Arabidopsis thaliana: one gene and its partners. The protein of the gene in region 1 interacts with the protein of each later gene in a biochemical or structural test. Each region holds a gene or a part of one and is shown in the gene's direction. Other genes may lie near its edges. The genes, in order: PIF3, PHYB, HDA15 and HY5.

Region 1 (6,109 bases):
TATTTTGATTGTTAATTTTAGAGTTTCACATGTAGTATACCATCTTGTATTAATATTGATTTAAACCCGTCAATTGTAGGATTTTTCAGCTTGTATTAAAAATTGAATCACATCATACACATTAAAAAATCTAATATGTTATTAATTATTGTAGTATATAAGATTATAAATTTTAAAATAATATGTATGAAATTGAATATAAATATTCAAATTATGACACAGTACTCAGTAATTTTTTTTCTTAAATCTACTTTTGACCCGTTATAGTATTTTTTTCATGTACTGAACAATTTATATTCGTTTTTAAAAATTCAAATTGTGGCATATGCGAAAAAACTCTAATTATTTTTTTATAACGATGATATTATTTTTTCGCAAAAATAGAATCATATAAAGATGAGAGGTGAATTATAATAATTAATAAAAAATTAATATGATAATATTGATATCAAATCTAATTTGTTGATTTTAATTGGTTACTTTTTTGGAAATTAATAATGTATTTCGTTTTTGAGTTAAATTTAATTAATTAAATTAGTATTTGACTTTTTAATTTTTAAAGAAATGAATTAATTTACTCTTTAAAATTTTATTTCTAATGGCATACGTATGTAATTACTTACAAAAAATAAGGTTACATTTTAAAAATTAATATGATAATTTAGATATCAAATCTAATTTGTTGATTTTAATTGGTTACTTTTCTGGAAATTAATAATGTATTTCGTTTTTGAGTTAAATTTAATTAATTAAATTAGTATTTGACTCTTTAATTTTTAAAGAAATGAATTAATTTACTCTTTAAAATTTTATTTCTAATGGCATACCTATATAATTACTTACAAAAAAGAAGATTATATTTCAAATGTACTTCCCAAATAATATAGTAGGATCACTTCCATTCCGAGTTTTCTTCTTTCTTTGATATATATATCTACTTATTTATTTACTCGGTTTGATTTTATAATAAATTTGTTTATAATTATTTTCTGAACAAGAGATGGCCATAAAATACAGTGATGAAATCAATAATGGTCCATGCAAATGTACTCAAATTATCCACTTGGAAAGTTTATAGTATACAATGGGTTGTTACGTATTTTAGAATCTAATTTGCATGGCGATTTAATTGACATTTCATCATCAACCGAGCTATAACGAGAGATAAACCAGAAGATGCAACGTTCGTGAACAAACTCGACTGATATTCTAGATGGTTTTATTTATTTTTTACTTATAGAAAGGAACAAATTAGATTTAAAGATAATATGCTCTAATCTAAGAGTTTGGAACCACTATACCACATACTATATCCCATGATTAAAAAAAATCTCAATTATTATAGCGCAAATGATTGGTTTTCATCAGTTAATAGAACTTGCTGAGTGAGTCCCCAAATTTGAGGATGATTAGTAATTTAGTATCGTAAAGACTAAAAAAGACTTAAGAAAAATAGTAATGATTAGAGAAGTCAAACCTTTAATAATTAAGATAGATAAAGAGAGACAAGGTTGCTCAACCCCACTTGGAGTGTGATGCTTTTTTGGCAGTGTTCCTTTATGATAACACATCTCTTCACACACAACTTTAGTGTATCACAGGCCCATGTCACTTTAAGATAAGATAACATATTCTAGTATATGATTATTTTCATATTTGTAAGTGTATTAAATTATTCATAGACACACCATGAATTAATTGTAATAATGCGAAGGACCTGTATCATGTAACAGAGACAGACGAAGTGTGCAGAGGTCGGTGAGAAGCAATTTGGTCACCATGCTCCAACTCTCTTCTCTAGGTCCCTTTTGCTTTAATTTTCTCGTTTAATAACAATATCTTATGAAAGCAGTTACCATATCAATTGAAGGATTGTATAATACCGTAATTTATTTATATATAGTACATCTAATTAAACATTAATTATTTCTACTAATAGCCTAAAACCACTACTAATACAACAACTAGTACTTGTTTACGATAATTATTAAACTTGTCTCGATACCTACAACATGCCCAAAAAAGTAATCAATACTTTGTTTAATCACAAAGATCTCAGTGAGATGGTTCTATAGATAGTATTTCTGATTTGTTAGTATATTAGAGAATTGACCATCTATTAAAATAAGAGAATGAACACTATTTGATAAAACAATACATACGCAATTATCATTGTCTTTAATTTTTATCAAAGTAATCATACGATCGACTATTTGTATGCAAAAATTCATCATTTTATTTGCAAAAAAAAACAAACAAACATGGTAGAATTGTATTTGGTGTGTGTTTTAACAAATTGTTGCAATGTTTAGTGCAACATATATAATCCACTATATATAATCATTGACATAATTAATATTTGATTATATGAAGCAATTTCTCTTTAATTATGTGTTTATAAATATAGGGAGAAAAGAAAAATAGAGAGAAAGGTAAAGAGTAGAGCTAATGATTCGGGCGACGCTAAAAGGTTGAATGTTCGAGAGAAACGGAGTCTCAGAGACTGTGAAAACAAAAAATCAAAATCCTCAGTTACAGACGATTTGGTCCCCTCTCTTCTCTCTCTGCGTCCGTCTTGTGCGTCGATTTGTCTCCATCTCCTTCTCTCTCCGCCTACTTTCTCAGGACTACTCCAATTCGCCGACTTTTTCTCCTCTGTTCTCTGCATTTGGATTGATGCCACTTTAATACTTTGAGGTTCTCACTCTCTCTTTCTCTCTTCGCTGACTTCGATTGCTTCAGTACCCTTTTTCTCAGGTCAGCTACGATGATAGCTTTATTCAGACAAGAAGATCAAAGTTTTGATCTTTTTGTTTTGGTTTTCTTAAGAGATGGTTAATTAGGTCTTGAGTGCGCTGTTTTGAATCGTTCTTCAGTGTGATTAAACAATTGGTTTTGATTTGACTAATCATGTTGCCATTAAACTAAGTGAAAATCTCTGCTTTTTTTATATTGCATATTGATGATTGAGACATTGATTTCTTTTCTATTTCTTTATTTCCCAGTTTCTAATTTGGGAACTGAAAAGTTTTCTAATTTAAGCATTACAAAGTGTACAATTTTTGTTTCTGGCAAGTTTTTCTTGGCCTAATTCGTCTATTTTATGAATTCACCTTTTTAGGATCAAGACTTCGTAAAAGATTGTTTCTGTAAAACGCAACACCATGCCTCTGTTTGAGCTTTTCAGGCTCACCAAAGCTAAGCTTGAATCTGCTCAAGACAGGAACCCTTCTCCGTGAGTCCCATTCACTTGTCTCTCTTTAAGTCTGCCTTGTTTCAAGTTCATCAAATTCATGTGTTTTTTTGTTGTGTGTGAAAAATAACAGACCTGTAGATGAAGTTGTGGAGCTGGTGTGGGAAAATGGTCAGATATCAACTCAAAGTCAGTCAAGTAGATCGAGGAACATTCCTCCACCACAAGCAAACTCTTCTAGAGCTAGAGAGATTGGAAATGGCTCAAAGACGACTATGGTGGACGAGATCCCTATGTCAGTGCCATCACTAATGACGGGTTTGAGTCAAGACGATGACTTTGTTCCATGGTTGAATCATCATCCCTCCCTTGATGGATATTGCTCTGATTTCTTGCGTGATGTGTCGTCTCCTGTTACTGTCAACGAGCAAGAGAGTGATATGGCGGTAAACCAAACTGCTTTCCCGTTGTTTCAGAGAAGAAAGGATGGCAATGAATCAGCTCCTGCTGCTTCTTCGTCGCAGTATAACGGTTTCCAATCGCATTCTCTGTATGGAAGTGATAGAGCTAGAGATCTTCCTAGCCAACAAACCAATCCGGATCGGTTTACTCAGACGCAGGAACCACTAATTACTAGTAACAAGCCTAGTTTGGTCAACTTTTCACATTTCTTACGCCCTGCAACTTTTGCGAAGACTACTAATAATAACCTTCATGACACTAAAGAAAAGAGTCCTCAAAGCCCGCCAAATGTGTTTCAGACCAGAGTTCTTGGAGCTAAAGACTCTGAAGATAAGGTTCTTAACGAGTCTGTTGCTTCTGCTACGCCTAAAGATAACCAAAAGGCTTGCCTAATATCAGAGGACTCATGTAGAAAAGACCAAGAGAGTGAAAAAGCAGTTGTATGTTCTTCTGTTGGCTCGGGTAATAGTCTCGATGGCCCATCCGAAAGTCCTTCACTTTCTTTAAAGAGAAAGCATTCGAATATTCAAGACATTGACTGTCATAGTGAAGTGAGTTAAACTCATGTCATTTTATGCACATTACAATTTCGTTTCTTTGTTGTTTTCTTCAGTTTTTTTATTGAATATTGTTGAGCAGGATGTGGAAGAAGAATCAGGAGATGGAAGAAAGGAAGCAGGTCCATCTCGAACGGGTTTGGGTTCAAAGAGAAGCCGCTCTGCAGAAGTGCATAATCTGTCTGAAAGGGTGAGTGAGTGAAGCCCCTAAAGGGTTTTTGTCCATTCTCAAACTCACAAAAGATTGCTATATTTGGTAACTTACTGTCCTCAATTTTCAGAGACGGCGTGATAGGATCAACGAGAAGATGCGTGCCCTGCAAGAACTCATTCCAAACTGTAACAAGGTCAGCTTCTTCTCCTTTACAAATACCATTCATGATTCATTTTTGTTTGAAAGATAAGGAGCAATGCCAAATAAACTAAAACTTGCATCTTAGAACGAATTGCTAAAGGTTTTTGATTGGTTTCCGTATTTATTAAACCGGAAAAACAATTGAAACCATATTGTAAGCAAGATTGTTCAAGCCGAGAATTTTCGTATTTAATCAGCTTTTGTAACATTTATATGGTTTAAAGGTGGACAAAGCTTCGATGCTAGATGAAGCCATCGAGTATCTCAAGTCACTCCAACTTCAAGTGCAGGTAACACTCTCATTACTCTCTAGAGTCGATAAAAATCGTGCAAACTAATAATCTAAACACAATAATCGCCAACAGATCATGTCAATGGCGTCTGGTTACTATCTGCCACCGGCGGTTATGTTCCCACCGGGTATGGGGCATTACCCGGCAGCAGCTGCTGCAATGGCAATGGGTATGGGAATGCCTTATGCAATGGGCTTGCCTGATTTGAGCCGTGGTGGTTCATCGGTTAACCACGGACCACAGTTCCAAGTCTCGGGGATGCAACAACAACCAGTGGCGATGGGTATTCCACGTGTCTCTGGTGGTGGTATCTTTGCCGGTTCTTCGACGATTGGCAATGGCTCGACTAGAGATTTATCTGGTTCTAAAGATCAAACAACGACGAATAACAACAGTAACTTGAAACCAATAAAGAGAAAACAGGGGTCTTCTGATCAGTTTTGTGGATCGTCGTGACATAAATACAAACTTATGAACTGATGTATTGTTTATTTGTAGCATTCAAACAAATCTATTTTATAATCCTAAACAAAATTAATTTGTGTTCGTTATAACAGTGAAGAGCTTTGTGCTTATTGGTGGGTTCTGTTCTGTTTCTTGTTTTGAATTAAAAAATGTTTTTAATATTTTCAAAGGTTTTGTTCCCTTTTTAATGTAGCGTGGGGTTCACTATATAGATGGACCTGGTTAAACAAGCGTGATGGGCTTCTCAGCCCATTTTGTTAAATAACTTAATTATGACATTTTCTTTCGATTTCCTTTTTTTTCTTTTTTTGGGCCAGGACTATTGAACTAGTGAAGCTGAATATATACCCACGCGAAAATTGAAATTATTGGAAGTTTTTTTTTTTTTTTTTTTTTGTTGGAACCTATAGGGTGTATATAAGTTACATGATACACGGTGTTTGAGCGCATCACTTAGCTTGATATGTAGTTTATGTTATACGTAGTAAGTGATTCGCTCACGCATGACTGTTACGTTTTCTTTAACAAAAAGAAAGGGAATCGATGGTTAGGGTTAGGTCAACGATCGGAGGAGTTGAGCTAGAGCCTAGAGAACCATAGTTTGGAAGAGGGCAAATGTGAGCTCCTGATTTGTTTCTCGGATGCTGGAAGCTATATATATGTCCATGATTGTATCGATTGGGAGTTTTGTCGAAAGTAAAAAATTTCTTCCTCAATTCTTTAGGAAGTTTGTTACTTTGTTTTATGTTCACAAAACGTTGTCAACTTCTCGTAGATGCTTGTT
Region 2 (6,823 bases), on another chromosome or scaffold:
AAATTGGGCTTGGGCTTTAAAGTATTACCCAAAGGCTATTAAAGTCGTTTTTTCCAATTTGGGCTCCTGATTTATTAGTATGGGAGGGCTTAGTTTTGGGCTTTAAAGTATGCCCCAATGCCTAATAATGTCTAGCTAGTTCTTCGTTATACTAAAGAACGAATTTTGGAAATTCTTGAATTACGATTGTACCCTTATATTAATTTCATCTTTTGTCTTATTCTTATTTATGCAAAAGTTATGCAAAAGTTTTAAGAAATTAGCAGCCAAGCCTAAAGAATCATTGAGAGTTTATAAGGGTGATTTGGTAATTGAGTAGTTTATTAGCTAATTTGATTTCAGTGGCACGTGGTAAATTACTGGTGGTTTAAAACTATTGTACGTGGACGATTCTTAGCCAACGAACTAGTACACTCTAGTGCGAACAGGTACATGATTAAATTCGTGGACATCCAATCATATCTCGTCCAAGATAAGACCAAAACATATGAGGTCATTACTCACTAATAAACATTTAAACTTTTGTTTTGTCAACGAATAGTGTGTTTTTCTTTTGTCATTCCAATTTTTTTCTGTTTTCTTTTCACTATTCACTTTTGGTCCATAATATTTTATGGGTATATAAGATAATCGTTTTTGTCTTCATACATGGTAACATGGATGTTTATATATGTAATAGTGTTAAAAAGAAAAAGTGGTCGGTTATACTTAACTTATTATGATAGAGCTTTGAAAACAAACAACACGAGATGGAGAAATTAGTCATTCAACAAAAGAAAAGGACGAACGCAGTGACTTAACATGAAACTGTGAGCGGCCCAAAATCATTTATGTAATGGACCCTTAACTTTTCATGCACACGATTTTTCTCATTTATATGTTTTTCTGCTCTCTTTTTTTCCTCTTTATCATTACTTTAATTTATTTTATGTTCTTTTTTCGAAGCACCATAATTGTATGCTTTCACCAAATAATCCAAATTTAGAATCATTAATATGTCAAAAAAGAATTGCATATATTCAATAAAACGTAATGCTAAGTAGTACAATGCATGTATTATACAAAATGTAATGATATAGATCCAACGTATATATCAAAGTGGACCAAAATATATCTTATGTATTAGACGAGTTTACTATGCAAAATTTATGATTCTATTCCGCATGGAGCGTGCTAATACTACTTCGAACCCCTTTGAGACCAATATGTGATTCTATATTCTATCTAGTACAAATTATGAGAAGTATATACGTACGATGAGAGTATAAAACATTTCAATATTTGTATAGAGAGGACACCACTTGGTTGACTTGACCCACGATAAGATATTGAAGAAACCAAACTTGTATAGTACGAATTCGAAATCGTAATTGATGATGCGATTCGACAAGTCCAGGGGCTCCCTCCCACGCGCAATGGGCCCAGCAACCACGTGTGGCCACTAGAGAGAATAAACCATTAGCCCACGTGATCTTGGGCCCAATCAATCTCTCCCTCACATTAAACGACAAAACAAAAGCTCTTCTGGGTTAAATTGATAAATATCAAAACTTTAAAGGTAATTTGCTAAAATCGCCACACAAAAAAAGTCGCAGAAAATATATGAGGAAACAAAAAGCGAAGACGACAAAAAAAAAAAAAACTCTGATTTTTTTTTGTTATCTCTCTCTATCTGAGAGGCACACATTTTGCTTCGTCTTCTTCAATTTATTTTATTGGTTTCTCCACTTATCTCCGATCTCAATTCTCCCCATTTTCTTCTTCCTCAAGTTCAAAATTCTTGAGAATTTAGCTCTACCAGAATTCGTCTCCGATAACTAGTGGATGATGATTCACCCTAAATCCTTCCTTGTCTCAAGGTAATTCTGAGAAATTTCTCAAATTCAAAATCAAACGGCATGGTTTCCGGAGTCGGGGGTAGTGGCGGTGGCCGTGGCGGTGGCCGTGGCGGAGAAGAAGAACCGTCGTCAAGTCACACTCCTAATAACCGAAGAGGAGGAGAACAAGCTCAATCGTCGGGAACGAAATCTCTCAGACCAAGAAGCAACACTGAATCAATGAGCAAAGCAATTCAACAGTACACCGTCGACGCAAGACTCCACGCCGTTTTCGAACAATCCGGCGAATCAGGGAAATCATTCGACTACTCACAATCACTCAAAACGACGACGTACGGTTCCTCTGTACCTGAGCAACAGATCACAGCTTATCTCTCTCGAATCCAGCGAGGTGGTTACATTCAGCCTTTCGGATGTATGATCGCCGTCGATGAATCCAGTTTCCGGATCATCGGTTACAGTGAAAACGCCAGAGAAATGTTAGGGATTATGCCTCAATCTGTTCCTACTCTTGAGAAACCTGAGATTCTAGCTATGGGAACTGATGTGAGATCTTTGTTCACTTCTTCGAGCTCGATTCTACTCGAGCGTGCTTTCGTTGCTCGAGAGATTACCTTGTTAAATCCGGTTTGGATCCATTCCAAGAATACTGGTAAACCGTTTTACGCCATTCTTCATAGGATTGATGTTGGTGTTGTTATTGATTTAGAGCCAGCTAGAACTGAAGATCCTGCGCTTTCTATTGCTGGTGCTGTTCAATCGCAGAAACTCGCGGTTCGTGCGATTTCTCAGTTACAGGCTCTTCCTGGTGGAGATATTAAGCTTTTGTGTGACACTGTCGTGGAAAGTGTGAGGGACTTGACTGGTTATGATCGTGTTATGGTTTATAAGTTTCATGAAGATGAGCATGGAGAAGTTGTAGCTGAGAGTAAACGAGATGATTTAGAGCCTTATATTGGACTGCATTATCCTGCTACTGATATTCCTCAAGCGTCAAGGTTCTTGTTTAAGCAGAACCGTGTCCGAATGATAGTAGATTGCAATGCCACACCTGTTCTTGTGGTCCAGGACGATAGGCTAACTCAGTCTATGTGCTTGGTTGGTTCTACTCTTAGGGCTCCTCATGGTTGTCACTCTCAGTATATGGCTAACATGGGATCTATTGCGTCTTTAGCAATGGCGGTTATAATCAATGGAAATGAAGATGATGGGAGCAATGTAGCTAGTGGAAGAAGCTCGATGAGGCTTTGGGGTTTGGTTGTTTGCCATCACACTTCTTCTCGCTGCATACCGTTTCCGCTAAGGTATGCTTGTGAGTTTTTGATGCAGGCTTTCGGTTTACAGTTAAACATGGAATTGCAGTTAGCTTTGCAAATGTCAGAGAAACGCGTTTTGAGAACGCAGACACTGTTATGTGATATGCTTCTGCGTGACTCGCCTGCTGGAATTGTTACACAGAGTCCCAGTATCATGGACTTAGTGAAATGTGACGGTGCAGCATTTCTTTACCACGGGAAGTATTACCCGTTGGGTGTTGCTCCTAGTGAAGTTCAGATAAAAGATGTTGTGGAGTGGTTGCTTGCGAATCATGCGGATTCAACCGGATTAAGCACTGATAGTTTAGGCGATGCGGGGTATCCCGGTGCAGCTGCGTTAGGGGATGCTGTGTGCGGTATGGCAGTTGCATATATCACAAAAAGAGACTTTCTTTTTTGGTTTCGATCTCACACTGCGAAAGAAATCAAATGGGGAGGCGCTAAGCATCATCCGGAGGATAAAGATGATGGGCAACGAATGCATCCTCGTTCGTCCTTTCAGGCTTTTCTTGAAGTTGTTAAGAGCCGGAGTCAGCCATGGGAAACTGCGGAAATGGATGCGATTCACTCGCTCCAGCTTATTCTGAGAGACTCTTTTAAAGAATCTGAGGCGGCTATGAACTCTAAAGTTGTGGATGGTGTGGTTCAGCCATGTAGGGATATGGCGGGGGAACAGGGGATTGATGAGTTAGGTGCAGTTGCAAGAGAGATGGTTAGGCTCATTGAGACTGCAACTGTTCCTATATTCGCTGTGGATGCCGGAGGCTGCATCAATGGATGGAACGCTAAGATTGCAGAGTTGACAGGTCTCTCAGTTGAAGAAGCTATGGGGAAGTCTCTGGTTTCTGATTTAATATACAAAGAGAATGAAGCAACTGTCAATAAGCTTCTTTCTCGTGCTTTGAGAGGTATATTCAGTTCTTCAGCTATGTTGTATCTGCGGTGTATATACCAATTCGCGGGTATTTGATTATTTTGTTGCATTTGGCAATGCAGGGGACGAGGAAAAGAATGTGGAGGTTAAGCTGAAAACTTTCAGCCCCGAACTACAAGGGAAAGCAGTTTTTGTGGTTGTGAATGCTTGTTCCAGCAAGGACTACTTGAACAACATTGTCGGCGTTTGTTTTGTTGGACAAGACGTTACTAGTCAGAAAATCGTAATGGATAAGTTCATCAACATACAAGGAGATTACAAGGCTATTGTACATAGCCCAAACCCTCTAATCCCGCCAATTTTTGCTGCTGACGAGAACACGTGCTGCCTGGAATGGAACATGGCGATGGAAAAGCTTACGGGTTGGTCTCGCAGTGAAGTGATTGGGAAAATGATTGTCGGGGAAGTGTTTGGGAGCTGTTGCATGCTAAAGGGTCCTGATGCTTTAACCAAGTTCATGATTGTATTGCATAATGCGATTGGTGGCCAAGATACGGATAAGTTCCCTTTCCCATTCTTTGACCGCAATGGGAAGTTTGTTCAGGCTCTATTGACTGCAAACAAGCGGGTTAGCCTCGAGGGAAAGGTTATTGGGGCTTTCTGTTTCTTGCAAATCCCGAGCCCTGAGCTGCAGCAAGCTTTAGCAGTCCAACGGAGGCAGGACACAGAGTGTTTCACGAAGGCAAAAGAGTTGGCTTATATTTGTCAGGTGATAAAGAATCCTTTGAGCGGTATGCGTTTCGCAAACTCATTGTTGGAGGCCACAGACTTGAACGAGGACCAGAAGCAGTTACTTGAAACAAGTGTTTCTTGCGAGAAACAGATCTCAAGGATCGTCGGGGACATGGATCTTGAAAGCATTGAAGACGGGTGAGTATAGTTAGAATTTATCTAGAAGCTAGTTTTGCTTACTTCACAAAATGTGACCAAATCCCAAATTTTGTTTTTTTCATTGATCAGTTCATTTGTGCTAAAGAGGGAAGAGTTTTTCCTTGGAAGTGTCATAAACGCGATTGTAAGTCAAGCGATGTTCTTATTAAGGGACAGAGGTCTTCAGCTGATCCGTGACATTCCCGAAGAGATCAAATCAATAGAGGTTTTTGGAGACCAGATAAGGATTCAACAGCTCCTGGCTGAGTTTCTGCTGAGTATAATCCGGTATGCACCATCTCAAGAGTGGGTGGAGATCCATTTAAGCCAACTTTCAAAGCAAATGGCTGATGGATTCGCCGCCATCCGCACAGAATTCAGGTACATTTCATTGTTCCCGCTGTTGTCTCCACATATCCATAACCAAAATTATGCAATCCGGTTTTTTTGGTTCCTTATTTTGTACATAAAGAAAATGAATTTGGTTTGGTTAATTACGAATTTGATTTAGGCGTTTAAAGAATTTGAGGTTTTAACCAATTCACTATTTGTTTTGGTTATTGTTTAGTTGGAACCTAGATTAGTTTGATTTTTGTATTCGGTTTAGTCGACTTGGGAACTTTTAGACACATCCATAGGCCTAGAATTAGCAGTCAAGGAATGTAATGTTTTCAAATTGATGAAAACCAGCTCAAAAGTGTAAAACTTGGGTTTCATGTGTTGGTGTCTTTGTTATGTCTTTATTCGTTGTTTGCAGAATGGCGTGTCCAGGTGAAGGTCTGCCTCCAGAGCTAGTCCGAGACATGTTCCATAGCAGCAGGTGGACAAGCCCTGAAGGTTTAGGTCTAAGCGTATGTCGAAAGATTTTAAAGCTAATGAACGGTGAGGTTCAATACATCCGAGAATCAGAACGGTCCTATTTCCTCATCATTCTGGAACTCCCTGTACCTCGAAAGCGACCATTGTCAACTGCTAGTGGAAGTGGTGACATGATGCTGATGATGCCATATTAGTCACACTTCAGTTGGTATGAGAGTTTGTATCATTGTATGAGTGTTTGTGTGTCTAACGACGTCGGAGGAGGATAGAAAGTTTTTTTTTTGTTTCCGGTGAGATTAGTAGAGAAGAGGGAGATTATTTGCGTTCAGCTCAGCTCGCCGGAAAAAAAACGTAACAGTAGTTGTAGAGAATTTCAAGACTTTTGTTTGTGCTGTGTAAATTGACAACTCCGAGAGAAACAAAACAATGAGATAAGAAGAGAGCATATTAATCGATGACCAATCCTTTTAATTTGTTACTCGTTACATCAATTCAAAATTATTATTTGATTGTTAACCATTTATAAATCATATTATATCCAATTAGTCTGTCTACGCAATCAAGAGGTAAAGGCCAATCACATTAATTTTAAAAGATTTATGATGAAATGGTACCGTCCAAAAAGTTGAAATTTTACAAACTCCACTATATATATAAAAAGTGAGATGTTTAAATTAGGCTGGCTAAGCTTAGGATGTAACACATTAACAATAGTTAATTTAATGTTTATGATGTATCGCACTATAGTTTTGATGTGTATGCTCTCCAGGCTGTTTCGTTTTTCACATTACCCACACTAAACTCACCTTTTTTCTTAAAGAAAATTAAAGTAAAGCTCAAAGACTGAAATATTAACAATATATAACTAATCATTAAGGAATCAAAACTCCATTATATATGCTCTATAAATACTCACCAATCAATAGCCTTCTAAATGTCTCAAACCCAATTCAAACCCTTAAACCCACCTAAAACCTTCAAAACTTATAATGGTTTCTAGTACACTTTTGGTTATGTCAATATCTCTCTTTCTTGGTTTAAGCATA
Region 3 (6,534 bases), on another chromosome or scaffold:
TCGTGATTTTTTATAGTCATGCAGAAGTTTTTAAACATGTATTTCAAAACAAACCCGAAAGCTCCTTGGAATTTGCATTTTATGTATTTATTTAGCAGTTAACCATAACGTTAGTTTGCATGTTCAATTTAAATTCAAAGAAATTAAGATGAGATATGGACGGTCTGCAATACCGTATGTTCTAACATAATATTCCAATAATCAAAGTGAATAAATCAATCTCTACCGATGATGAATCTTTGAACTGAAAGGAGACAAGAAAACAATACATCAAATATTTTCAACCATAATGGGAAGCTAGTCGGTCACACTTCACAAAGTGGCCTTTATTTTTGGGTTGTTTCGTTGAAGGGTCCCGAATCAATGGTAGGGAATACTTTCTCCTTATCTCTTTCTCTCTCACTCCAATATATATAATATGATGAATCTTCACTTCCATTTAAACATCACACAATCATCACACAATCACCCTGAATCCCTGATAATAAGGAAAAACAAAAAAGTTTGTTTTATAAACACACTTTAAACAATGAGGGAGAAGTACACAAAGGAGGAAGCAGTGAAGAATTGGGAGAAGAAGAAGAACAAGCCTTCTTCACCAAAAGGAGTTGGAGAGTTTCTGAAAAAGAAGAAAGGAAGGTTCTACATTATTGGAAAATGTATTACTATGCTTCTTTGTTCACACAAGTGATAGTCAACACACATTTTTTCATACATATTTATGTTATCATGTATAGGTATAGATGATGATAGAGGTATAAAAAGGAGAGAGAGCTCAACATATTTACATCTTTAACATTTCGGTGTTCATCTCTCATTTTATGTGGGTGTGTTCTTGTTGTCGTCGTCGTTGTTATATATGGAAATATATCACTCAATATTCTTCTTGTGAACTATATATATAACGGAATACTATCTCCCATAGTCCCATGTTTGTAGAATTAATATTAATGTATGAATAATAAATTCTTAGAGAAAAGACAAAGACGATGCTTTTGAGTACTATATGGAGATGCATGCACACAAACATGTATTATATAACAAAGAAATTGGATTCAGTACTTACAGTTAGAATTAGGTTAAGGTAAAAGAAAAAGGTAAGGGAAACAAATATCAGTCTCACATGTGTTAATGCGCTTGGGCGTATTTTGATTATGTTAGCTGGTCATTATCAGTTAGTTTAACCATTAGTCATTCTACAATCTGTAGTGTGACGTTTAATTACCTGATGATTCAAACATTTTTCACTATAAATATTATGAAGTTATCAGTTAGGTTATTTACCAAACAAAAATTCAATGACATAACAACTAAAGTCTCATTCCCTTTAAAAAATGGTAACTTTTGTAATCCATTTCGAGAAGACAACAAACCTAAATTGGCTTTGTGAAGTAAGATTCAGTCGTACTTTGCTCTTTCAATACTTGAACATTAATGAAAAATTCCAAGCAAAAGGAAATAAAAATAAATAGTTTGACTCAAATTTGGTAATGGGCTTATAGTGTTATTGGGTCTTCATCTTCAGCCCAAATAATCTTTTACTCTTTCAAGTCTGAACGTCGTCATCTTCGTTGTCGCCGTCGTCGTTTCTCTCATTTCTGCTCTGTTGTGCTATCGTAGCGTCGCGCTCCTTTAAACGCGACGGACGCAGCCTTCTCTGTTCATCGTTTCGCCGGAAGTTTTCTTCAGGTATGATATTTTGAGACCGTCGTTGATATTTTTATTCAGTTTCCATAGAGAAAAAAAAACAATTCCTGAGTTCTGGATCGAGGATCGATTTCGATAATACTCGAAGAAAAGTTGGGTTCTTCGTAAAGTTATTTGTTGTAGCTGTGTGTGGAGTTCTTTACATTTTCTTCGATTTTGATTTTAGCTCTTCGTATATGAAACTTTTTGATTTTTAAAATTTCTCAAATTGGGTTTTTCTTTGTTTCTCTTTTGGCACAGCGGAGATTTATTTTCAGCTGGTTAGTAGTTTTGAGTGACTACTGAGGTAACAATGGTTGTAGAAACTATCGAGAGGTCTTGTGAGGGTTCAAAGAGAAGACATGTGAACGGTGGAGATATCGCTGTTCCTTGTTCGGGAGAAGAGTGTAGCAATGGAGATATAAATGTAGCTCCTGGAGTTTCAGCGGTAAGCTAAAAACCATGGCTTCCTTTTAATGTATTGTCAGAGATTTGGTTGGTTCTGCTTTTGGTGATATTGGTCATTGTTGTGTCTTATGCAGAAAAGAGCTAGGGTTTCTAGAGAAATGACGTTTGAAGATATTTACGGTGCTGATGCATTACTCAATGATGACGATGATGAGGATGATGATTGTGATTGGGAACCTGTGCAGGCGCCTATGGAGTTTGTAAAATGGTGTTGTGTCAATTGCACTATGTCGAACCCTGGTGATATGGTCCACTGTTGTGTACGTTTTTTATTTACTTTTTCTTGCTTGGCTACTACTTTTTATGATTTCAAAGTGACAAACGTACGTCTGAGCAATGCGCATTGGACATTGGTTATGTATTAGTAAAGTTGATTCCTTGACGTAGATATGCGGTGAGCACAAGGAATCTGGCATTTTGAGGCATGGATATTTAGCGTCTCCCTTTTTTAAAGACACTGGTCTCATTGAAGTCGAGGAGAAATATGGAGGTAGGAATTACTTCCCTTGCTTCCTCTGAAAATGTCTTTATAAATATTGTTAGTCTCAGTTCCATGCTATTTAAGTAACTGTAAGCATGTTCACTTTTCTTTTAACTTGATATTAGGAAGCTCATCTGCAACCAGCTCGACAGCTGTTGGGTTCGACGAGAGAATGTTGCTACACTCAGAAGTATGATCTTGTTACTGTTATGTGTTATGTTTTCCTGAGAAACCTCTAGTATCTGTTGACATCTCTACATTATCATCTCCAAAGCTTTTCTTCGTGCAAGTTTTTCTATTTAATATGTGCTGATGGCATGCTTAAAAAGTTTGAAGTGAAGGCACAACCACATCCAGAGAGACCTGATCGTCTTCGAGCTATAGCTGCTAGTCTTGCCACAGCTGGTATGTTGCGTTTACTTCCTTTAAACCTAGCCTCTCTTGAGAAGAAGACTAATGTTTGGAAGCTGATTATTATTAAGATTTGGAGATCATTATATAGATCTCTTGCAGCCGAGGTAAGTTAAAACTAAAAAGGAAAATAATAAAATTCTAATTCTAAAAGGAAAAGATCAGAACATAACTTCTTCAATTAAGAAGCTTCTAGCGTCCTTGTCTACCTTCTCTGAGACTTGATCCCATATATCATATCATGTGTTTCATTTTACAGTATCATACTGTTGGGAGTAATTTTGGTACTCACCACGTTTGAATTTTTTTGCAGGTGTTTTTCCTGGAAGATGCTTGCCTATCAATGCAAGGGAAATCACGAAACAAGAACTCCAGATGGTGAGCTGCTACATAACTGTCTTAGAGACAATTCTAATATTATGTTCATTGCAGTACTTTTACAAGCAATTTCATAACTGGTTTGTATATGTCAATTTTGAGGTCCACACTTCAGAGCATGTTGATGCTGTTGATACTACAAGCCAGCTTCTCTATAGGTTTGAATTTTAAACCATTTGTTACTTTTTTTTTTGCGTTCACCGTGCATATCCTTGCTTGTTAATCTGACTGTTCAAACTTGAATTGAAATTTCCTTTACCTTCGCTGCTCCTCATTTATCTCTTTTTGCTCTTGATCCCGTTCTTTTACCATTGTCTGGCAGCTACTTCACCTCTGACACATATGCTAATGAGTATTCAGCACGTGCTGCTAGACTTGCAGCAGGTTTGTGCGCTGATCTAGCTACAGATATTTTCACTGGCCGTGTAAAAAATGGTTTTGCTTTGGTATGTCTAATTCACCAAAATTTTTAAATTTAAAGATGCAACTACACAATTGCTTTAAATTGAAATTACACCATATTAGTTTGAAAAAAAAAAATCTCTGATTGTATCAGGTTAGACCTCCCGGTCATCATGCTGGCGTCAGGCATGCTATGGGGTTTTGCCTTCACAATAATGCAGCCGTTGCTGCATTAGTAGCACAAGCAGCAGGGGCAAAGAAGGTGCTGATTGTGGACTGGGTAATGTTACTGATAACTCTAAACTGGGTGATTTTGTAGATCTTCAAACTTTTTTAATTCGTTGTACTCTGCATTGTGTGGTTTGGCTCATATCAATGTTATATCTACCGTTGCAGGATGTCCATCATGGCAACGGAACCCAAGAGATATTCGAACAAAACAAATCTGTAAGCTGCCCAAATCTATGCATGTCTGCACATCAATTTTGGAGTGTTGGATGCAGTAAATTATTTTTGTGAGTTGACCTTGTTTGAACTTATTACTGGGAGTCATTGCATAGGTATTGTACATATCCTTGCACAGACATGAGGGAGGAAACTTCTATCCCGGTACTGGAGCTGCTGATGAGGTACCTATGCTTTTCTGTTTTACATTGTCTCATCCAGCATTCATGAGTAGATTTAGTTGTTGGTATATATATGCATATACCTTATTTGTGTGTTTGGTTTGCATTATGATTTATGTCTTAAATTTTGGGATTATTTTCTAATTTCTGCCTTGTTTCCAAAATTTGAATTTTCTCTAGGCGGCAGAACAATAGTTTGCTAATGTTAATTATGGGTGCAGGTTGGTTCTAATGGTGGGGAAGGTTATTGTGTAAATGTTCCATGGAGTTGCGGTGGAGTTGGGGATAAAGACTATATCTTTGCGTTTCAACATGTGGTTCTCCCCATAGGTACAGAGTCGTTCTACTTTTCCCCATTTGATAAACGTTTTGGCTTAATTGATGACTAATATGCTCAGGAAGTGGACCAAATACATTTAGCTCACTTTTGAATGTGCACTCAGTCTAATTTTAACTGGAACCTTCTCTTGCAGCTTCTGCATTTTCTCCAGATTTTGTCATCATATCTGCGGGATTTGATGCGGCTAGAGGAGACCCACTAGGATGCTGTGATGTAAGCTTCATATTCGAGCTGTAATTTACCACTTCTGGAATCAGTGTATTGTTTTGTGGATATCAACAGAGGATAGATGTTCTGTTCTACTCCTTTTTTCAGGTGACTCCGGCTGGCTATTCTCGAATGACACAGATGTTGGGTGATCTGTGTGGTGGGAAAATGCTAGTTATTCTCGAGGGCGGGTATGTGTTTTGCAGTTTTTTGGAGTAGCCTCTTGGTTTGTAAGGAGCAGCTTTTGAATAATCTCCTGTTTTCATTTGCAGCTACAATCTTCGCTCCATATCTGCTTCTGCAACAGCAGTGATCAAGGTTAGTCTCTATTTCAAACTTGATATCCTTTAAAATCTGCATATAGTTATGGAGATTCATGATCCCGCTTAATCTATAAAGGTGCTTCTGGGTGAAAATCCGGAGAACGAGTTGCCCATCGCCACCACGCCTTCAGTAGCCGGCCTGCAAACTGTTCTTGATGTACTGAATATCCAACTGGAGTTCTGGCCATCACTTGCTATCAGCTACTCCAAATTACTCTCAGAGTTGGAAGCACGTCTGATCGAAAACAAAAGTGAGTGATGCTTCCCAAAAAAAAAACTATTTCATTCTTCATCCTTCTTTCTCCTAATAAAATCTCACTGGTTTTACAGAAAATCAGATGAAAAGGAAGGTTGTTCGGGTTCCGACATGGTGGAAATGGGGACGAAAGAAGCTTTTGTACAACTTTCTCTCGGCTCGTATGATTTCAAGATCAAAGTGATTTTAGAAAGCATTCTTCCTAATCCGTCGTAGGAATTGTCTACACTTACTTGTAACCCTAACTGATCTGGGGGAATTTATTGCAATTAGGGAGCTCTGAACAATCTTTATCACTTACATTTGGTAGGGTTTTATAGAAAGAACCCTTTTAACCTGCTTACCAACCATCCTCATCAGACCTCTTAAGCTAGGCAATCGGTTTGGATAAACGAATTCCTACTTTAACCAAATTTATAGTTCGGTTTGGTTTATCTTAAAATTATTGATGTCGAACCAAACCAAAAACAAATTTCTTGTTCATTTCTCGGTGTCCAAAATCCTCATTTTCCAATAATTCCGGTATATTCTTTTTGGTTTTGGTATATTTCAATCAATTTCAGTATATTTGACACAGTTTGATACGGCTAGGAAATTTGATTTACAAAAAAGAAAAAAGTAGAAGAATTTAAGAATATTTAGAAATTTATGAAAAACTAAAAGAGCTTCTAAATACGGATATGTTCAATCTTCCAAAACCAAACAAAACAGTTTTGTCGGTATTTTGAACCAAATCTAATTACCAAAATTTTGGCACTGTTCGGCTAAGAATATTAGTCCAGCTCTATTAAATAAGAACTTTCGAATAATCGCTTCGATTCAGATTAATTCTTTCTGATTTTAGGTAGATAGAGGGGCTATCGGTTAATTTCGATTATGAACTAGCTGAATTTTTGTAAATCAACCACATTTTATTTAATCATATGTTTGTTTTCTAAGAGAATTTGAATCTAAAA
Region 4 (3,906 bases), on another chromosome or scaffold:
CTATTATCGGTTAGAATTGGTGAATCCTCGAATTAGACTTTGGCTCTTTTTGATTTTGTATCAGCCTTTGATTTCATGGTTTGTGGCAGAAAAGTTTGGATGGAGCTGATAATGGAGGAGGTGAGGAGGAGGAGGATCCATTTGAGGCATTGTTTAATCTTTTAGAAGAAGATTTGAAGAATGATAACTCGGATGATGAGGAGATAAGTGAGGAAGAGTTAGAGGCATTAGCCGATGAGTTAGCTCGAGCATTGGGTGTTGGTGACGATGTTGATGACATCGACTTGTTTGGTTCAGTCACTGGTGATGTTGATGTTGATGTTGATAATGATGATGATGATAATGATGATGATGATAATGATGATGATGATGATGACAGCGAAGAAGATGAAAGACCGACTAAGCTGAAGAATTGGCAGCTTAAAAGACTGGCTTATGCATTGAAAGCTGGGCGTCGTAAAACTAGTGTAAGTTTTAGTTCAGTGTTGAAGTGATGTTGAATACATTGTGTAAAGCATAGTGCTTGAGTTAGTGTCTGCTTTGGAGATTTTGCTTACGAATTGTTTAAGAGTTGACAAAGAACAAGTAGTTCTCTGGTTTTCAAATGCATAATTGATAACGGATGGTTTTGTTGTGATCTGTAGATTAAAAATCTGGCAGCTGAGGTTTGTCTTGACAGGGCTTATGTTCTTGAATTGCTTCGTGACCCGCCTCCAAAGCTGCTAATGCTAAGTGCTACACTACCAGATGAAAAACCGCCAGTAGCAGCACCTGAGAACTCCTCACCTGATCCAAGTCCTGTGGAATCATTATCAGCTGAAGATGTTGTGGTCGAACCTAAGGAAAAAGTAAAAGATGAAGCAGTTCATGTGATGCAACAGAGATGGTCTGCTCAGAAAAGAGTGAAGAAAGCTCACATTGAAACGCTAGAGAAAGTTTACAGAAGATCAAAACGACCCACTGTAAGGATTCTCCTTTTACATTTGAATCAATTTCTATGTTACTTGAATGCTCTATCTCACATATGATCATGTTTGATGATGCTGTGAATAGAATGCTGTGGTTAGCAGCATTGTTCAAGTGACCAATCTTCCAAGGAAGCGAGTTTTGAAGTGGTTCGAAGATAAAAGAGCAGAAGACGGAGTTCCAGATAAGCGAGCTCCATATCAAGCTCCGGTTTGATCTAATGTTAACGTTGAGATGGCAATGATTTGTATACTTGATTCTCAGAAACTCATCAACATTGTCGTCAAGGACAAGTTTTTTTGGTGATACGAGGAGTGTTTATAGTAGTAGATTCTGTCCAATGGTGTGGCTGGATATGTTGGACTATGAAATTTTAGGATATCTTGTATTCAGTTTTTAGTTATTTCCTTGCTGAGATTGTGTCTTGTAGAAAACCGTTTCAACTTTGTTTGGTTTATGGCGGCTATAAAGTTTAATTTTAATGCATGACAAAAACAAATCACCAAAAATAAAATAAATTACTTTCACGACACTTTTGAAAGCACTGCCCTAGGCGTGGGCCATGTGACAGAATGAAAGAACTCAGACCAAACTTTTCTGTCCAAGGACAGGAATGGGGCCCACCCAATTAGCTCCCCTATCCATTATTCACCGTAAGATGCTAACCAGATCTAACGGCTAAAATCCACCCACGTTCCAATCTCAATTGCCTTTGGATCCTTGTATTTCCTCAAGGCTCACCTTTCTCCACGATTCACTCTCGATATCCGTTCGATTCTTCAGAGATCTGACGGCGGTAGCCAGAGTAATCTATTCCTTCCCAAAATGTCTCGCAATTAGATTCTTTCCAAGTTCTTCTGTAAATCCCAAGTCCCGCTCTTTTCCTCTTTATCCTTTTCACCAGCTTCGCTACTAAGACAACAAATCTTTCCCTCTCTCTCTCGCCTGATCGATCTTCAAAGAGTAAGAAAAATGCAGGAACAAGCGACTAGCTCTTTAGCTGCAAGCTCTTTACCATCAAGCAGCGAGAGGTCATCAAGCTCTGCTCCACATTTGGAGATCAAAGAAGGTAAACAAAAATTGTCGATTGTTTTATTTTCATATCTTCTCCCAACGAGTGATCTCATTGATTTTCATTCTCATGCATTGGATATCTAGTAAATTCACATCTAGATTTTGTATCACCATTGATTCACATCTAGATTCACAACTTTTAGTCTCCCCCAGAAGATCTGCAATTTTTTATTGTATTTAAAAAGTTTGAAACTTTTCGTCTAAAGTCTCTTTTATGTTTTAAAGGAATTGAAAGCGATGAGGAGATACGGCGAGTGCCGGAGTTTGGAGGAGAAGCTGTCGGAAAAGAAACTTCCGGTAGAGAATCTGGATCGGCGACCGGTCAGGAGCGGACACAGGCGACTGTCGGAGAAAGTCAAAGGAAGCGAGGGAGGACACCGGCGGAGAAAGAGAACAAGCGGCTGAAGAGGTGTCTTTTTCTCTATTCATTGAATTTACATTTTTACCCTTTATATGGAAGGTGATTATGTTAAATAACGGTTGCGTGATGGGGTTGTTTGGTAATTTTGTGGTGAAAAGGTTGTTGAGGAACAGAGTTTCAGCTCAGCAAGCAAGAGAGAGGAAAAAGGCTTACTTGAGCGAGTTGGAAAACAGAGTGAAAGACTTGGAGAACAAAAACTCTGAACTTGAAGAGCGACTCTCTACTCTTCAGAACGAGAACCAGATGCTTAGACATGTACGTTTTGTCGATCTTACTGTTGACTTAACCTGCAACGTCAATGCTTTTGCCATTTGTTTTTTGATATATCACAGTACTGGTTTATCACATTTACGAGTCTAGGATTGACCAATAATTAGTTTAGTTAGTTAAAAGGATCTAAGAAGCTAACTTAAGCTTTAGATTAATTCTCAGAAGGCATGTAGGTTCTTGAAATGGTCATTCACTCGCATATTCTCTCAAAAGGCATGTAAATTCTTCAATGGTTCTTGAAATGCTCACTCATTTTGTTCTATATGAATGGAGAAGATGAGATTGCAAAGTTGGATCTCTATGTGTGTGTGTGGTAATAAAGTCTTTTGAGTTGTTATGTTTTTTATGTGGTGTAGATTCTGAAGAACACAACAGGAAACAAGAGAGGAGGTGGTGGTGGTTCTAATGCTGATGCAAGCCTTTGATCTCCTTCTTCTTCTTGTGTTATATTTTTGTGGATAAAATTTACAGAGAATTGTATCAATAATTATCATGTTAAAATTATATGGGATGTGAGAGCTAATATTGCAATTGTAGACCAAGTTCTCTTATTGTAGTCTTAGATTTCTCTTAATTGAAACATAATGTTGTTTTATAACAAAAATAAGCTAATTTTTGTTCTATGATATGACATTGTGACACTGTAGTAGAAAGGTTGCGTTTTCGATTCCCGCAGTTCAAAGTCCCAAACAAATTCTGGGATAGTGGAATCTTTACTCTTTTTTTTTTCCTTTTTGCCCCTATCCCTCCCGATTTCTTACAGACAAGTCGCCATGGATTTGTAAACGAAGATGCCGTTGATCATATTATGCGGAAATCGGACAAAGAGGGTAGGGTCGATCTTTTACAGCCAAAGCTTGTCAAGCTCGAGAGATGAGCAATCATGTAAGTGTTTTCTTACACTTTTGCTTTCCTTTTTCTAAAATCCATGGAATCCAGACATTGTTTTCTGTCACTGCTACCTTGAACTTGCTGCTCCCTTCTTAGAATCGGGTTGCCACAACCGAATTTCATGGACAAAATCGTACATTTCTTTACCTGTTGTATGCTTTCTGATTCTTTGTTTTCTATTTTAGATTTTTCGTGGATCTCATCTTCATCTATTGCTAGTTGCTAGTGTACTATGGATTGTTTGACATTATTTCTCATGCTTTTGAGGATACTCAGATTCTATC

The links.
Region 2: the proteins of PIF3 (region 1) and PHYB form a complex in vitro, tested with the Arabidopsis thaliana proteins (12 studies listed by BioGRID, with this or other methods).
Region 3: the proteins of PIF3 (region 1) and HDA15 form a complex in vitro, tested with the Arabidopsis thaliana proteins (one study listed by BioGRID).
Region 4: the proteins of PIF3 (region 1) and HY5 form a complex in vitro, tested with the Arabidopsis thaliana proteins (2 studies listed by BioGRID).

The regions. Positions count from the first base shown.
Region 1 is NC_003070.9:3,074,052-3,080,160, forward strand, and holds PIF3 (phytochrome interacting factor 3), read left to right. Parts: upstream 1-1,716; 5' UTR 1,717-1,801; intron 1,802-2,349; exon of another isoform or gene 2,350-2,407; 5' UTR 2,408-3,164; coding exon 3,165-3,235; intron 3,236-3,326; coding exon 3,327-4,206; intron 4,207-4,294; coding exon 4,295-4,402; intron 4,403-4,493; coding exon 4,494-4,559; intron 4,560-4,791; coding exon 4,792-4,857; intron 4,858-4,932; coding exon 4,933-5,316; 3' UTR 5,317-5,603; downstream 5,604-6,109.
Region 2 is NC_003071.7:8,138,181-8,145,003, forward strand, and holds PHYB (phytochrome B), read left to right. Parts: upstream 1-1,582; 5' UTR 1,583-1,898; coding exon 1,899-4,062; intron 4,063-4,150; coding exon 4,151-4,958; intron 4,959-5,048; coding exon 5,049-5,339; coding exon of another isoform or gene 5,340-5,469; exon of another isoform or gene 5,470-5,715; coding exon 5,716-5,971; 3' UTR 5,972-6,281; downstream 6,282-6,823. Other genes in the region: XTH21 (xyloglucan endotransglucosylase/hydrolase 21), read left to right, coding at 6,767-6,823. UniProt on the Arabidopsis thaliana protein: Regulatory photoreceptor which exists in two forms that are reversibly interconvertible by light: the Pr form that absorbs maximally in the red region of the spectrum and the Pfr form that absorbs maximally in the far-red region.
Region 3 is NC_003074.8:6,359,606-6,366,139, forward strand, and holds HDA15 (histone deacetylase 15), read left to right. Parts: upstream 1-1,570; 5' UTR 1,571-1,689; intron 1,690-1,947; 5' UTR 1,948-1,999; coding exon 2,000-2,134; intron 2,135-2,228; coding exon 2,229-2,414; intron 2,415-2,541; coding exon 2,542-2,644; intron 2,645-2,760; coding exon 2,761-2,825; intron 2,826-2,964; coding exon 2,965-3,040; intron 3,041-3,359; coding exon 3,360-3,424; intron 3,425-3,526; coding exon 3,527-3,582; intron 3,583-3,746; coding exon 3,747-3,870; intron 3,871-3,980; coding exon 3,981-4,106; intron 4,107-4,222; coding exon 4,223-4,273; intron 4,274-4,386; coding exon 4,387-4,455; intron 4,456-4,673; coding exon 4,674-4,782; intron 4,783-4,925; coding exon 4,926-5,005; intron 5,006-5,107; coding exon 5,108-5,190; coding exon of another isoform or gene 5,191-5,218; exon of another isoform or gene 5,219-5,271; coding exon 5,272-5,317; exon of another isoform or gene 5,318-5,398; coding exon 5,399-5,577; coding exon of another isoform or gene 5,578-5,581; exon of another isoform or gene 5,582-5,652; coding exon 5,653-5,794; 3' UTR 5,795-6,010; and 1 more. Other genes in the region: RTFL20 (ROTUNDIFOLIA like 20), read left to right, coding at 530-691. UniProt on the Arabidopsis thaliana protein: Responsible for the deacetylation of lysine residues on the N-terminal part of the core histones (H2A, H2B, H3 and H4).
Region 4 is NC_003076.8:3,592,833-3,596,738, reverse strand, and holds HY5 (Basic-leucine zipper (bZIP) transcription factor family protein), read left to right. Parts: upstream 1-1,735; 5' UTR 1,736-1,938; coding exon 1,939-2,035; intron 2,036-2,265; coding exon 2,266-2,449; intron 2,450-2,559; coding exon 2,560-2,821; 3' UTR 2,822-2,944; intron 2,945-3,087; coding exon of another isoform or gene 3,088-3,156; 3' UTR 3,157-3,378; downstream 3,379-3,906. Other genes in the region: OCP3 (overexpressor of cationic peroxidase 3), read left to right, coding at 90-467, 645-962, 1,054-1,182.